3 linked regions of the Canis lupus familiaris genome follow. The protein of the gene in region 1 purifies or fractionates together with the protein of each later gene. This does not show direct contact. Links are inferred from orthologs where the notes say so. Each region holds a gene or a part of one and is shown on either strand. Other genes may lie near its edges.

Region 1 (4,604 bases):
GGTGCCAAGACCTGGGCTCAAAGGCAGCCACTGATAACCCACCACCCACAAATTAGAATGTACCAGGAAGGACTAGGGAGAAAAGTGTGCAAACTGGCACCCATTCAGTAGGAATCAGTCAAGCTGTTTCAGTGGGACAGCTGGCACCAGGGTTGAACTGGGTGAGATTCAACAGCCAGAAAAAGGTGCAAGGGGGTAGGACAGGGGGAACCAGGGTCCTTGCCCGAACGTCTCCTCAGTCAGCATATGTGGCATACAGCTGGCAAAATGATTCCCATACTAAGCAAATTCATTTCTAGTTACTAAAAGGTATCCTACCTGGCCACCCTCTCAAAAACCCATAGTCCCCAGTCTATGAAACAAAACCAAATTAAGGGATGTCACATACAAGAACCAACCAGCACTCTTCAAATCTCCCAAAGTCATGAAAATCTAAGAAAGTCTGAGAAACTGCTGCAGACCAGAGGAGGCTAAGGAGACACGATGATTAAATGTGATATGGCATCCTGGAACAAAAAAACAGCATTAAGAACAACTAGCGAGGGGTGCCTGGGTGGCTCAGTTGGTTAAGCATCTGCCTTCTGCTCAGGTCATGATCCCAAGGTCCTGGAATCAAGCCCTGGGTAGGGCTCCTTGCTCAGTGGGGAGCCTGCTTCTCCCTCTGCTGTTCCCCCTGCCTGTGCTCTCTAAAGTAAATATCTACAAAAACAAAAACAACTAGTGAAATCAGAATATCAAAATGAGGTGTGCACTTTAAAATCCCATACCGACGTGGGTTCTTTAGTTGTGACAAATATATCACAGAAATGTTAAAGAGGTCAACAACAGGGAAAATGGATGTGGGGTATATGGAAACTCTCCGCACTATGTTTGTAACTTTTCTGTAAAAATAAAAAAAAATTTTTTTTAAAGATTTTTAATTTATTTATTCATGACCAACACACACACACACAGAGGAAGAGACACAGGCAGAGGGAGAAGCAGGCTCCATGCAGGAAGCCCGACGTGGGTCTCGATCCTGGGTCTCCAGGATCACACCTCGGGCTGAAGGCAGTGCTAAACCGCTGGGGCACTGGAGCTGCCCAAAAATAAAATTATTCTAAAATAAAAATTTACTTAAATTGCCTAGTCCATGTGTACATACTAGATGTTTTTAGAAGACTTAAGATTTGGGGGGGCAGAAAGGAGGACTAATCTAAATGCTTGACCTGAATTATGAATTAACTCATTGAATCCTTGTGACAGTACTAAGTAGGCACTACTTATTATTATTATTATTATTATTTAAGATTTTATTTATCCATTCATGAGAGACACCGGGAAAGGCAGAGACACACGCAGAGGGAGAAGCAGGCTCCATATGCTGGGAGCCCAATGTGGGACTCGATCCCAGGTCTCCAGGAACAGGCAGGCCCTGAGCTGAAGGTGGCGCTAAACCGCTGAGCCACCCAGGCTGCCTGGCACTATTTCTTTAAGTAAACTCTACTTCTGATGTGGGGCTCAAACTCACAACCTGAAGATCAAGAGTCACACGCCTGAGCCAGCCAGGCACCCCAGAAGTAAGCACTGTTAGCTGCCACATGTATCGCTAAGTTTCTATATGGAGTTAATAGAAACGTAGCGATAAAATAATGTAGCCACCATCACAGGTCTGAGATTTGAACGTAGTGGAAACCGAGGCACAGGGAAAAAAAGAAATTGACAGTAAGCTAATAAGTGGAGTAGAGACAAGGTCTGAACCCAAAACTGGGCGCCAGAGTCTGCACTTAACTGCTACTCATGCTGCCTAGGTAATAACCTAGCCCCTATAGGTCAAATCTTCAAATACTGGCACAGTACACAGTAAGTGCTCTAAGTGAAAGTGGTCAGATCCCAAGAAGGACTTCCTGCATGCAACTGAAGCCTGCTATCTTCATTCCCAAATAAGTCTCAAGATCAGAGTTCCCCCACCTTCTCTGGACCTCAGAACCACCACCCGTGATGTTAAGTTGAACTCTAGGTGTCCTGCTGTGGACAGATGCAAGGTGGGAAGTAAAGACCCATACCCACTTGGGCCAGTGGAGGGTCTAGTGCATAGGAGGGAATGGCCAGGAAGCCCCCTCTCTTTTAGCAAAGGGCAGTGCAGATCTCCCTATTTTGGGGCAGGGTTGGTAAACTGATCCAGTGGGGGGCAGCTGAAGCAGAACCAACTGGCCTGAAAGGAGGGCTAAGGATAAGGGCTGATGGGAGGTGGGCAGAGGATGGAGAAAAGCTACAGTCAGGGTGATGATGCCTGCTTCTCTGCAACTGTGCTGGTGTTGCGGGTGAGCGTCCATCATCTGGAACAGGGAAAGGTGGGGATGTCTGGCAATTACTGACACCTTGAAGAAGTGAAGAAGACACAAGAATGACCTACTAGCAGCTATTGTATGGTCAAATGTCTGGGGATCTTGCCAGGGCAGGAGGTATGGTTGAGACTCAACCCCAGAGTTCCTATTAAAAATAAGATACATTAAATAGGCAATTAAGAGCCGGGCTCTGGGTTTCACAGGCATCGACTTGATTCTCATCAGGCAGAGTTGATTATTTTCTTCATTTTACAGGCAGTTCTCGATCTACGAGACTAGAGAACTTGATTATTTGGCCACCATCGCAGGTCTGAGATTTGAACGGCGCGCGCGGTCTCATTGTGACTCAGACAAGAGTCTAACCCACAAAAAGGGTTCTTAGCGTGGGGCGGCAGTTTGGGGATAGGAGTCCAGCATGTGGCTGGCCGGAAATTCGAGAACTAGGGCAAAAGAAACCAAAAGTGAACTAGGGCAGGTCTCAGAGAAGGCGAGGGATCGAATCCCTAGAATTGGGGGGGAGGGGACCTGAGTCAGAGAGACAGAGAACAGGACCCCAGAGTTGGAAGGAGGACGGGGGCCGGAACCCCTGGGGTAGGAAGACGGAGCTGGTCCCCGGGTCAGAGGAAGGAAAAGGCCTAACTCCGCGTCGGGAGGAGGAGGGGAGTGGATTCCAGGATTCCCGAGAGGAGAGGCCAGGCCCGCCTCCCGGTTGGGGCCTGGCGGGGCGGGGCGCGGATGGATCCGGGGAGGCCGTGCTGCGCCATCCCCTGTATATCTGTCCCCACTCCCCGGGGCCGCCTCATTCCCCATCCACAGATCACAATCTCCTCTCAGGCTACCGAGACGCCATCTCCGCCCGCCCAACCCCGGCTATGGCTCTGTAGCCGCGACCCCTCCGTGTCCCGGCCCGTTTCCGCGCTCACCGCGCTTGCGCTCTTCTCTACCGCCTTCTTTTCTTCAGCTGAGGCTGCCGCCGCCTCTCCTTTCCGTAGCCATGGAGTGAGTAACCGCTCGCCCCTCCCTCTCCAACCGCCTTTCCCGCCCTTTCGAAGCTCGCGGCCTTCACGACCAGGCCTGGGGGGTGGGGAGACGAGAGTGAGGAATCACGGTCGCGCAGGCGCAGAAGAGGGAAACGCGTCGTTGGCACGCGGCCGAGCATGCGCATTCGGTCCAGTGGGGGAAGGGTACGTTCTTCCCTAGAATGCTGGAGTTTAAAGATGGCCTGCACGCAGTGCGCCTGCGCACTAGCCCCGAGCGGGGGTCGCCCCCCGCTCCCCGAATGAGTCTGTCCGCGAGCGGTTGCTCACGTGCACAAGCCCACCAGACTCCGTATTTTTTGAGTGAAGGGCGGGCAGTAAGCAGCTGCACATGCGCACTGACTCCCCAACCCCGCAGGCCTGAGAGAACAATTGGATCAGTGGCAGAGCATGCGCTTTAGCCCTGCGAGAGAGGCGTGTGGCTCCGCCGGCCGGCTCCCGTCTCCGAGCTCCACCTTGCTCATGCGCACAACACAATTTATGTTTCATTCGGGCACCTGCTGGGGCGGGGTTGGGTGGGGCTGACTCAGATTGACAGGGCGGAAGGCGAGGCTTAGAGGCCACCTGTAAGGAGGGGGGTGGAGCTAGGATCAGCGGCTGCGACGGGTGGGCGGGGGTCTATCGTGAGAAGGGGCGTGGTTAAGCAAATTTACCTGGGGTGGGGTTTCAACGGAGAGAAGGCGGGGCCTCTGGGGTATCCCCGGGAATGAAGTGGGGGGCTAAGGTAATTGGACGGGAAGGGACTGGGGCGGTCACCGCGAAGCTAAAAAGAAGCCGTGGGACTTAGTAGACCACGGTTTGGAGGGGCAGGGCTGGGGGAATTCCCCTGGGAGCTGATTTTTTTTTTTTTAATTTTTATTTATGATAGTCACACAGAGAGAGGCAGAAACACAGGCAGAGGGAGAAGCAGGCTCCATGCACCAGGAGCCCGACGTGGGATTCGATCCCGGGTCTCCAGGATCGCGCCCTGGGCCAAAGGCAGGCGCTAAACCGCTGCGCCACCCAGGGATCCCTGGGAGCTGATTTTTGAGCCGAGTGTTTAGATGGGATGGAGCCTAAAGGAAATACTTTAGAGGAAGGGGTGTGGCTGGAAGAAAATTCTCCTGGGATTGAAATTTTTTTTAAAAGATTTTATTTATTTATTCATAAGAATACACAGAGAGGAGAGAGAGAGAGGCAGAGACACAGGCAGAAGGAGAAGCAGGCCCCATGCAGGGAGCCCGACGTGGGACTTGATCCC
Region 2 (4,604 bases), on another chromosome or scaffold:
GAAAGCAAACTGGTCAAGATGGTTCATTTCAATGTAAATATATGTGGCAGGCACTTGAAGGCCCTAGCATTACAGTGCAGTTTGTACAGTAACTGAAGCAGGCCCGGCTTTACTTGCCCATCTGTGCCCGTAACTGCAAAGCAATGAAGCCTTTTGGGTAATTATGTGCTAACGCTGTGGCTATTCACCGATGGGGCATTTTTAACCACTGACTGAAATGTAACAGAAAACACATCAGATCCCCCCCCCTTTTTAGATTTCCCTACCTTAAAAATAAATAGTACGCATAATTTCCCTTTCCATGACTGAACTCCAGTCCGCCCCCGACAGCCTCCACACACCACCAGGCCAGCTGTGTCTCCACAAAGCCATCACACTCTGTGAGCCTGTGTCTCTCGACAGCTCTTCCTTCTCCTTTTGTGGCTGGCTGTCATGGTCCGGGAGACGGCCTAAGCAATCACCCAGATCTTCCAGCCAGGTGTGCGTGCATCTTCTGTACACTCTGGATCATTCTATCATGGTTCTTACCACCTTGCATTCTGGTCATCCCTTCAGTTGACCATCCTGCACAACTGTGATGCGTCTTCCTCTCTCACCCTCAGCATAGTATGTAGCATCCTGCTGACTCTCAATAAGTTTTAGTGAAGCGAGTAGTGAAGAACTCAGAAGTGTTCATAAATGGCAGCTGAGATGCTACATTAGAAACAGCTCAGTTGGGGATCCCTGGGTGGCTCAGCAGTTTGGCACCTGCCTTCGGCCCAGAGTGTGATCCTGGAGTCCCAGGATTGAGTTCCGCATCGGGCTCCCTGCATGGAACCTGCTTCTCCCTCTGCCTGTGTCTCTGCCTGTGTCTCTCATGAGTAAATAAATAAAATCTTGGAAAAAAAAAAAAAGGAAAAAAGAAACAGCCCAGCAGGACAGGGAACAGCCTCAAGAGCTTCTGCGGCCAGTGAAACGCTGCTGTACCCACGTAGCTGCTCCATGGAGTGGTGGCGTTTTCAGGGGTTCTGATAAGCCGCTTTCTCAGCGTTACCAGCCCTCGGAACAACGTACTTCTCACAGGCTTGTCCTGCTTCTCTCCTGACCACCACATCACCATCTTCTGTCTTTTCCACTTTCCCCAACACACCACAAGACAGCCAACGTATCTCATCCTCACCCTCAGCCAGGATCTTTTTAGATAAGACCATTCTGAACACCCTGAGATCTCTGCTGCTTGTCACCGAGCTCTGTAAGCCTACCCTTCACCTGTTCCTTTTTTTTGTTTTTTTAAGAGTTTATTTATTCATGAGAGACAGAGAGAGAGAGGCAGAGACACAGGCAGAGGGAGAAGCAGGCTCCATGCAGGGAGCCCAATCTGGGACTCGATCCCAGGACCGCGGGATCACAACCTGAGCCAAAGACAGATGCTCAACTGTTGAGCCACTCAGGTGACTGTCCCTTCACCCATTCCAACCAAAAGGTTGTTCTCCCATAAGAGGTTCTTTTTTTCCCCTGGCTTCTCAATCCCCATCCTCTCCTGCTTTATTTACAACCCAAACAGCTGAGATCAAGTGTGGTAATTACAGGGCTTAGGTGGTTTTGTTTCTAAAGTCACTATTCTTTTGTTATTATTTAAAATTGCAACTCCTGCTAAGCACTTTCCCACCTGACAGTCCTTTAGGATTTCCTGAGAGCACCCAGTGAAGGAGGGGGAATACAAAAATAACAAAGAAAGACAGCCCCTGCCCCCCGCCATGGTTACAGGGTAGAAAAGAAGACAAGTATGAATCAATTTAGTCTTGCCTGCTCCAAATGCTGCTAACAGGGTGTGCTGAACATGAGAATTACTCTCCTAAGCCACAATTTGACAGAAAGTAGATTGTTGACTTGTGACCTGTTTTCAAAACTGCAGAAACACAGCTAGCAAAAGCCGATCATTTCTCATTTACAAGATTCGGCAAGTGGCTCACAACAGACGCCCTGCATTAGGATGGGGGGTGGGGGCACCTTTTTATCTTTTAGTCCTTTAAAAGGCCAGAATCCATTTATTACAAGTACACATTTCCTTACAAGTACACATTTCCTTAGAACAACGTTCCGCTGCAGCAAGTCTGGAATGCTTTCTGTCTACACCGCTTTCAGATGCTAGCAGCTAATCAAAAACAAGCAAAACTGGGGGCACCTGATAAATAAAACCTACACACACACACAGACACACACAAAACACTGCCTTCAGCTCAGAGCATGATCCCAGAGTCCCGGGATCGAGTCCCACATTGGGCTCCCTGCATGGGGCCTATTTCTCTGTCTCTCTCTCTCTTTCTCTCTCTCCCCCTGTCTCTCATGAATGAATGAATGAATGAATAAATAAATAAGTAAATAAATAAAATCTTTAAAAAACAAAAACAAACCTGGGGGCACCCGGGTGGCTCAGTGGTTGAGCATCTGCCTCGGGTTCAGGACGTGACCCGAGGTCCTGGGATTGAGCCCCACATCTAGCTCCCCGCAGGGAGCCTGCTTCTCCATCTCTCTCTCTCTCTCTCTCTCTCTCTCTCATAAATAAATAAATAAATAAGTAAATAAGTAAATAAGTAAGTAAGTAAATAAATAAATTCTTTAAAAAGAAAAACAAAGATTGTCTCCCAATTTTGGGAATGGGCTCATTTTCCAGAAAGGAAAAGAAAGAATTACCAGGGATTCCTGGTCCACGTCAGGCACAAAACTGGAGACTGGTCGCTTTCAGATCTCCCACCTGACTGCTGCTCACACCAACCCCAGGAGAGTCAGGACTGTCCCTGCGATCCGCGGGTTTCTCAGAACCCACCTCCTACGGTCTGTCTCCGCTCACCTGTTTTCCTTCCAAGTACCCGCACTGCTGGCTTTCCCACGGTCCCTCCCCTCCCCCGGGCCCCCCAAGAACCGCAGCACCCCGAGAGCGTGCGGGAGGCGGCAAACCTCTGACGAAGGAACGAAACCCGGGAGAGGCTGCCAAAGTGGCCATGAGGAGGACGGAAGCAAGAGGACAAGAGGCAACTTCCGCCCGAACCGGCCGCCCCAGAGGACGAGCGCTGACACCGGCGTCGCACACCTGCGGGGCACCCGTGCTGGGCACACCCGCGCCCTCCGCTGCCGGCCCCCGGTGAGGCCCTACCTGGTACTGGGACAAGGAGGGCTCGTCGCCCGCGCCGCCCAGGCCTCGCAGGCGGACCACCAGGAAAGCGCTGCCGTCGCCGTCCCACAGGAAGAGATCGCCGCCCAGGCCCAAGACAAGGTTCCTCGTCAGCGGCGGCGGCGACGAGGGCGACGGCGAAGACGCCGGCTTCTCAGCCTCGGCCGGGCCGTGGGTCTTCAGCCCCTCGCGGAGCCGCAGGAACACGACGTGGTTGGGAAGCCAGGACTGCCACGGCTCCCCATCACCCGTGGGCCCTTCGGCGGCTGCCATCTTGGCCCCACTGCGCGCGTCCCCCCAGTGACAACGCGCGCCGCGGGGCACAGCCAATCGGCGGCCGGCGGGCCGCGCTCCGGCCAATCAGCGAGCGGAACGCCCGGACGCACGCGGCCCGCGGAGGGGAGGGCCGCCAATCAGGCGGGGGCGGCGCTGCGGGAAGGCCAGCCCTCGGAGCGCAGCCGGAGACCTGCGTCTCTGATTGCCGCTCGGACACTAGTCTAAGCCTAGACGCACCTCCCTTAGTCCAGGTTGGGTTGACCTCACAAATGCCACCGCGGCCACGCATCCTCGGGGTCGCCCCAGTCCGTCTCCGTGCGGGGCTGGCAGATGGGACGGCCGTTCCCAGAACGCCCCGCGGGCGCGCGCGAGGAGAGCCCGCAAACTACAATTCCCAGGGTCCTGCGCGCCCTCGGGGGGCGCGGCTTCCTGGCGGCGACGCTTGCAGAGAGATGGCCGAGGCGCCGGGCTCCGGGCGCCGCTCGCTGTACAAGGCGGTGGGCTCGCCGCGGTGGAAGGACGCCTTCCGGCAGGTGGGCGTGGGCTCCGGGGAGCCTTGGCTGGGCTGCCGTCACTGCCCTGATCCGCCCGGGCAACCGCCGTGCCGCGGGCCGGAGAGGCAGGTGCCGGAGCGCCGGGCCCAGTGGACCGGGAGCGGGACCGGGCGGGGACCGGGATGAGCTAGGCTGGACCTGCACCGGGCCGGGCGCCCCGGAACCTCTGGGCTCTGCGTGCGGGGCCCCACACGCCGCGAGTGCACCTGCGCGCCCCCCGCGCCACCTCCTGGGGGGCGGGGTTGAGGGAGGGGCGCAGGGCGGGGCGTTGGGGGGAGTGTACGGGGGGCGGTGCTGGGGGGACGACGCTGGGCTTCCACAGAGGAAATGCTGTCTCTTTCTGCCCCCTGCCCCCCCAGCGTCCCAGTACCAGATCATGACCTGAGCCGAAGGCAGATGCTTCACCGACAGAGCCACCCAGGCACTCTAAGAATTTTTATTATTATTATTATTATTTTTTAGCCAACTCACTTCCGTCTTTCTCCTTCCCAGGGATGCCTGGAGAGAATGAGAAACAGTCGGGACAGGCTGCTGAACAGATACCGCCAGGCTGGAGGCAGTGTGCCGAGGAGAGCTCAGAGCACCCTTCTGGTGCAAGAAGTGATGGAAGAAGAGTGGCATGC
Region 3 (4,604 bases), on another chromosome or scaffold:
AAAAAAAAGTCTCACACTTCTACTACTATTCTGCTTAAGACAATAATTCACTCATTCATGCATGAAACATTTAATGTGGACCTACACTGTAGGCCTGGCCTTAGGGATACCAGAATAGTTGTGTTTCAGGACTGAAGGATGAGAAATCAAAGTTTCAGTAGGTCTTTGAGGAAGGTACAGTAAACTATCCAGGGAGAACTAATGACTTTCTAATGTAGAACACAGGCAAGGGAGGGTGGAGGAAAGGAAGGGATGTTTGGATGCAGGAGTGGGGGGAAAGTGGCTGGAGTCAGATGTTTAAACTAGCTTTCCTATTTGAACATCTATATATTTATTTTTTCCTTCCTTTGAACACCAACTGAGCACCTACCAGATGTCTCCTATCCATTATCTTATTTCATCTTTACAACCATTCCGCTTCCTAACAAATTAGCCAATTTTTTCTAATTCCTTGCTACCATTGAACACTAAGAGGGATTTAAATTCATCTACTTTTGTGCAGAGCCCATTTCAGTCTTGTATTGATGTTCCAGGAGAAGGTGGTGGTGGAGAGTAGTCTGAATAGGTTTTGCTTTCTGAGCACAGTCCCTGCTATTCTGTGTCAGGACTCTCAGTTACTGGGTCTGGTTTCTAGAACATGCTCAACATTTCCCCTTGTAATACTTCTGTTTTGGACTAGGCCAGGGTGGGGAAGGGAAACCTTTATGAATAAAATGCCGCTGTGACCTTAAAGAGCCTGGGCACAGAAGACAGAAAAGTAAATAATAGGATACAAAGTGACAAAGCTGTAACAGAGGCCTGCCCAACCAAGCAGTAGCCCAACACTCTGAGACAGATCTGGGAATGTATCCCAGAGAAGGCGGGAACATTTGAACCAGGCCTTTAAGAATAAATAAGAGCTCCTAAAGTGCAGGTGGTTAAGAAGTTCCAAGAATACTCATTTGTAACATATCCTACCCTGAGCCATTCCCTTAGGGCATGCTCATAGCGTCTATTCTGGGGATTCAGAGAGGAAAGGTTGTGACGGGGCCGGCATAGGTTGGGAAACCAGGAGGCCAGGTTTTGGGGCCTCAGAGCAGCTGCAGGCGAGCTATGCGGAGAGACAGACCTCCCAGGAGGGCCCTCCAGCTCCGCACGTGGTCTGGCCAGGAAGTACGGGCAGGACTACGGGGAAGCCTTCCCATCACCGCCCGCGGACTGGGGCAACGAAAGGGTAGAATAGTTACCATGCCATCCTGGAGCCTCCCCTCTGATTGGCCCGAGCTTCAGCAGCCTGACTGTCTCGGCTCCAACGCGGGGGGCGGAGCCTCGGCATAGCGTCACCACCCTTCTCCCGCACCCCGCCCAGTGCACACCAACGCAGCCACTCACAAGCCCGCCTCGCGGGGGCCTTGTGTGACGTCACGACTCGCCCCAGCCAATCGCGGCAGAGGGGGCGGGACTCCCTGTCCCTCCCACCGTCCCTCCCATTTCCCCCCCGTAACTCCTCCCGTTCCTCCTCTTCCCCCTCGCTCCTTCTCCCGAAGACCGCCCTCACGTTCGGTTTCAAAAGACCAGTTGCCCAATGAGTCGCAGGGCGGGCCTAGAGTGGCGGGGGCGTCTGCCAATGCGCAGGCAGCGAGGGCGGAGCGCCCGGGGCGAGCCTGTGACGGTAGGCGGCGTGTGACGCAGTCGGGCCCTCTGCGCGCTGCGCCCGAAGCGGCGGTCGGTGGCGGCGGTGGTATCGGCGGCGACGGTTTCGTGGCGGCCGCGCGCTGCTCCCCGAGCGGCGGGTGGCGGACGGGCCTAGGCCTTCACTCCTGACACTTCCCTTCCCCCACCGCACCGCGGTAAGTGGAGAGCCCGGGCGGTGGCGGCCCCGGACCGACAGGCTCCTCCTCCCCTCTGGGCGGGCGGGTGCGCGGGGCGTCCCAGGCCCTCCGCGCCGAAGTCTCGCGCCCGGGCGCGCACCTTCTGCCCCGAGGGAGGGGGCGGGGCCCGCGACCCCGCGGCCCCGCGGCCCCGCGGCCCCGCGGCCCCGAGGCCCCGAGGCCCGGCTCTGCGGGCGCTGGGAGGGGACCGAGGTCCGGGGAGCCAGGGCCCCGGGGTCTCCCGTGGCAGCCTGCGCTCGGGGAGCGTCCATGTATCTGGTGGTACTCATTCATTTGCCTGGCGGTGATTAGGTGGGCGGGCCCTTTGCGGGGGCCGCGTCTTAGGACCCTGAATAGGATCTCCCCAGCGCTTGCTTGGTTGACGGTCGTTCGGGACGGGCTTTAATTTGCCTTGACGTCTCCACGGGGGAGATGTGCAGCCCGGCGTTTCGGATGGGTGGGTCGGGAGTTTGTTAAGCTTTTTAACACAAGATCTGAGAATTAAGATCGATCTAGTGGAGTAAAAGGTTATTTTCTGCCCTCCCACGTGTTTCGTGTAAAGCTAGAGGAGGAGAAAGGTGGGATTTCTGGATTACTGTAGCTTTGGGGAACCTTAGAAATTAAGCCAATCCCCCTATCGTACATCACGTGCGAGTTTTATAGGTGGAGGAACTGAGGTCCAAAGAAGGGACAGGATTAGGATTAGCCTGTACCAGATCCGCCTCAGTCTAGAAATTTTTCTACTGTATCACTCTCCCTGGGTGTTCCATCCTCCTATTATTGAAGGTTCAATTTGGAACCTTTGGGGGGAGGGGGGTGGGGGCTTCGGTATTTAGAAGCAGCCTTCAACAGCGTTTCTGCGTGGTTACCAGTTCTGTTCGTGTTAAGGCAGAAACTTCATCTGCGGGACCCTAACCTAAACCATGAGAATTAAAAAGTTGGGTAAGGAATGTCGGTGATGTAAATGTATTGGAAACAAATGGATAAGACTCCCATGTCTGGCTAATTTCCTATTCCAAATCTGAAATTATTTGTGTCAGCTGCTGGGGACTCAGGAGACAGAATCCACTTAGTGACTCATAAGAGTTTTGGAATAGAAAGCAGAAAATACAGACAAGACTTAGATAGGCAGCGGTAATTTTGTAGTTCTTGTACCTTGGAATTTATGGCTCCTTCCTGACAGAATTCAAAGTATTGTAGTGGGAAAAGGTGAGGAAATGAAACCTCTCTTTGGAAGCAGAAACTAACTGGAAGAAAAGAGCAGTGATCATCCCCTGTGACGACAGTCTTAGAAATTCAGCTTGTTAACTGGGAGACAGATGATCTATTCACTTGATGGAAGAAGTTAGGAGATTTAAAAAACAAAACCAGAACTGGGACAATTTGCAGGTACTGGGAAATACTTTGACAGAAAAAAAAAAATTTTTTTTTTTGACTCTTCATTAAGATTTGAGGAAATTGAGTTAAAAGTTGCCACTTTGGTCTGTTCACACTGGTCATATCACATGTTCTTGTTTAGATGACAAAGCAAAAACTGAAAACTAGTGTGTAAGAGCAGAAGAGAACGGTAGTCTAAACACAGAAATGTGAAGAGTATATTTTCTGTGACATTTTCTCAGTTCAAGCATCACCCTCTTCTGGGAAGCCTTTCCTGGCATTCTGTCTCCAGCAAGCTTCCATAACACTTATTTGATACTTCTATTTATAGCACACATCATTTTGTATTTTAGCTGTTTATCTTATTAGACTGTGGTAAAATATTTTTATCTTTTTAAAAAAATTATTTATTTATTTTAGAGAGGTGGAAAGAGAGAGAGAGGGAGAGGGAGAATCCAAGCAGACTCCCTGCTGGTGTGGAGCCTGACTTGGGGCTCAAGCTCACAAACCTGAAATAATGACCTGAGCGAAATCAAGAGTTAGATGCTTAACTAAGTCACCCAGGCACCCATTTCTTCTCTTTGTATTCAGATTGCTTGCCACCTAATAGGCGTTCAGTGTTTACTTGAAGGGATAAATAGGGAGCAGGGAGCAGCTAAACCTAAAAATTGTCTATTAAAAGACTGATTATATGTGTGTTCCTGAAATATGGGGCCTAGATAAGAGGACTTACACCGTTCATATGTTTCGTGGTACTTTGGTACCTGACTTTATTCATGTCTCTACTAGTTCCTAGATAGTTGAAATCAAGCTTTTAGGGAACCAAATTAACAGCTCGGAAGAAATTGAGTATATTATTTTATTGTGATATTTTTATTGTAGTAATTAACCTAGGAAGTAAGGGTTACTACTAATGTTTAATTTCCAACAGAGTGCACATCTGTGATTATGCAGTTTGTTGAAAGGTTAGGGGCGGTCTAAGACATTTTTGGAGATTTAACAATATAGATATTAGAGTTAAGGTACCTAAACATTGTTTCTTAAGAATTTGGTGCGTTTCTTTTGGTTAGGAATTGAACCTAAGTATTTGGCATAGCATGTCTCTACAGAAGATTTTTCAGCCTCTGCACTGTTATCATTTTGGGGCAGGTAATTCCTTTTGTCTCAAAGCTATGTTTTGTATTGTAGGGTGTTTAGCAGCATTCCCCACCTTTACCCATTAAATATCCATAACACCTCCTCCCGGAGTTGTAATAATTTGGAAGGTCTCCAAACATTGTCAGATGTCCACCAGGAGGCAGAATTGCCCTGATTGAGAGATGACTGCTTTTGAGAAAACATTGCCTACCAATCTTTCATTAAATCATACCTTTATCT

What was found.
Region 2: the proteins of NUP62 (region 1) and NUP88 purify together in Homo sapiens (co-immunoprecipitation; 4 studies listed by BioGRID and IntAct, counting the BioPlex papers as one, with this or other methods). This does not show direct contact. The link is inferred for Canis lupus familiaris from reciprocal best matches to the Homo sapiens genes NUP62 and NUP88.
Region 3: the proteins of NUP62 (region 1) and NUP98 purify together in Homo sapiens (affinity purification with western blotting; 3 studies listed by BioGRID and IntAct, with this or other methods). This does not show direct contact. The link is inferred for Canis lupus familiaris from reciprocal best matches to the Homo sapiens genes NUP62 and NUP98.

The regions. Positions count from the first base shown.
Region 1 is NC_049222.1:107,311,072-107,315,675, reverse strand, and holds the start of NUP62 (nuclear pore glycoprotein p62), read right to left. Parts: upstream 3,384-4,604; 5' UTR 3,251-3,383; exon of another isoform or gene 3,033-3,250; intron 1-3,032. UniProt on the Homo sapiens protein: Essential component of the nuclear pore complex. The N-terminal is probably involved in nucleocytoplasmic transport.
Region 2 is NC_049226.1:31,570,610-31,575,213, reverse strand, and holds the start of NUP88 (nuclear pore complex protein Nup88), read right to left. Parts: upstream 3,451-4,604; 5' UTR 3,425-3,450; coding exon 3,134-3,424; intron 1-3,133. Other genes in the region: RPAIN (RPA-interacting protein), read left to right, coding at 3,697-3,960, 4,474-4,604. UniProt on the Homo sapiens protein: Component of nuclear pore complex.
Region 3 is NC_049242.1:26,465,067-26,469,670, reverse strand, and holds the start of NUP98 (nuclear pore complex protein Nup98-Nup96), read left to right. Parts: upstream 1-1,670; 5' UTR 1,671-1,829; intron 1,830-2,773; exon of another isoform or gene 2,774-2,792; intron 2,793-4,604. Other genes in the region: PGAP2 (post-GPI attachment to proteins factor 2), read right to left, coding at 1,227-1,315. UniProt on the Homo sapiens protein: Plays a role in the nuclear pore complex (NPC) assembly and/or maintenance. NUP98 and NUP96 are involved in the bidirectional transport across the NPC. May anchor NUP153 and TPR to the NPC.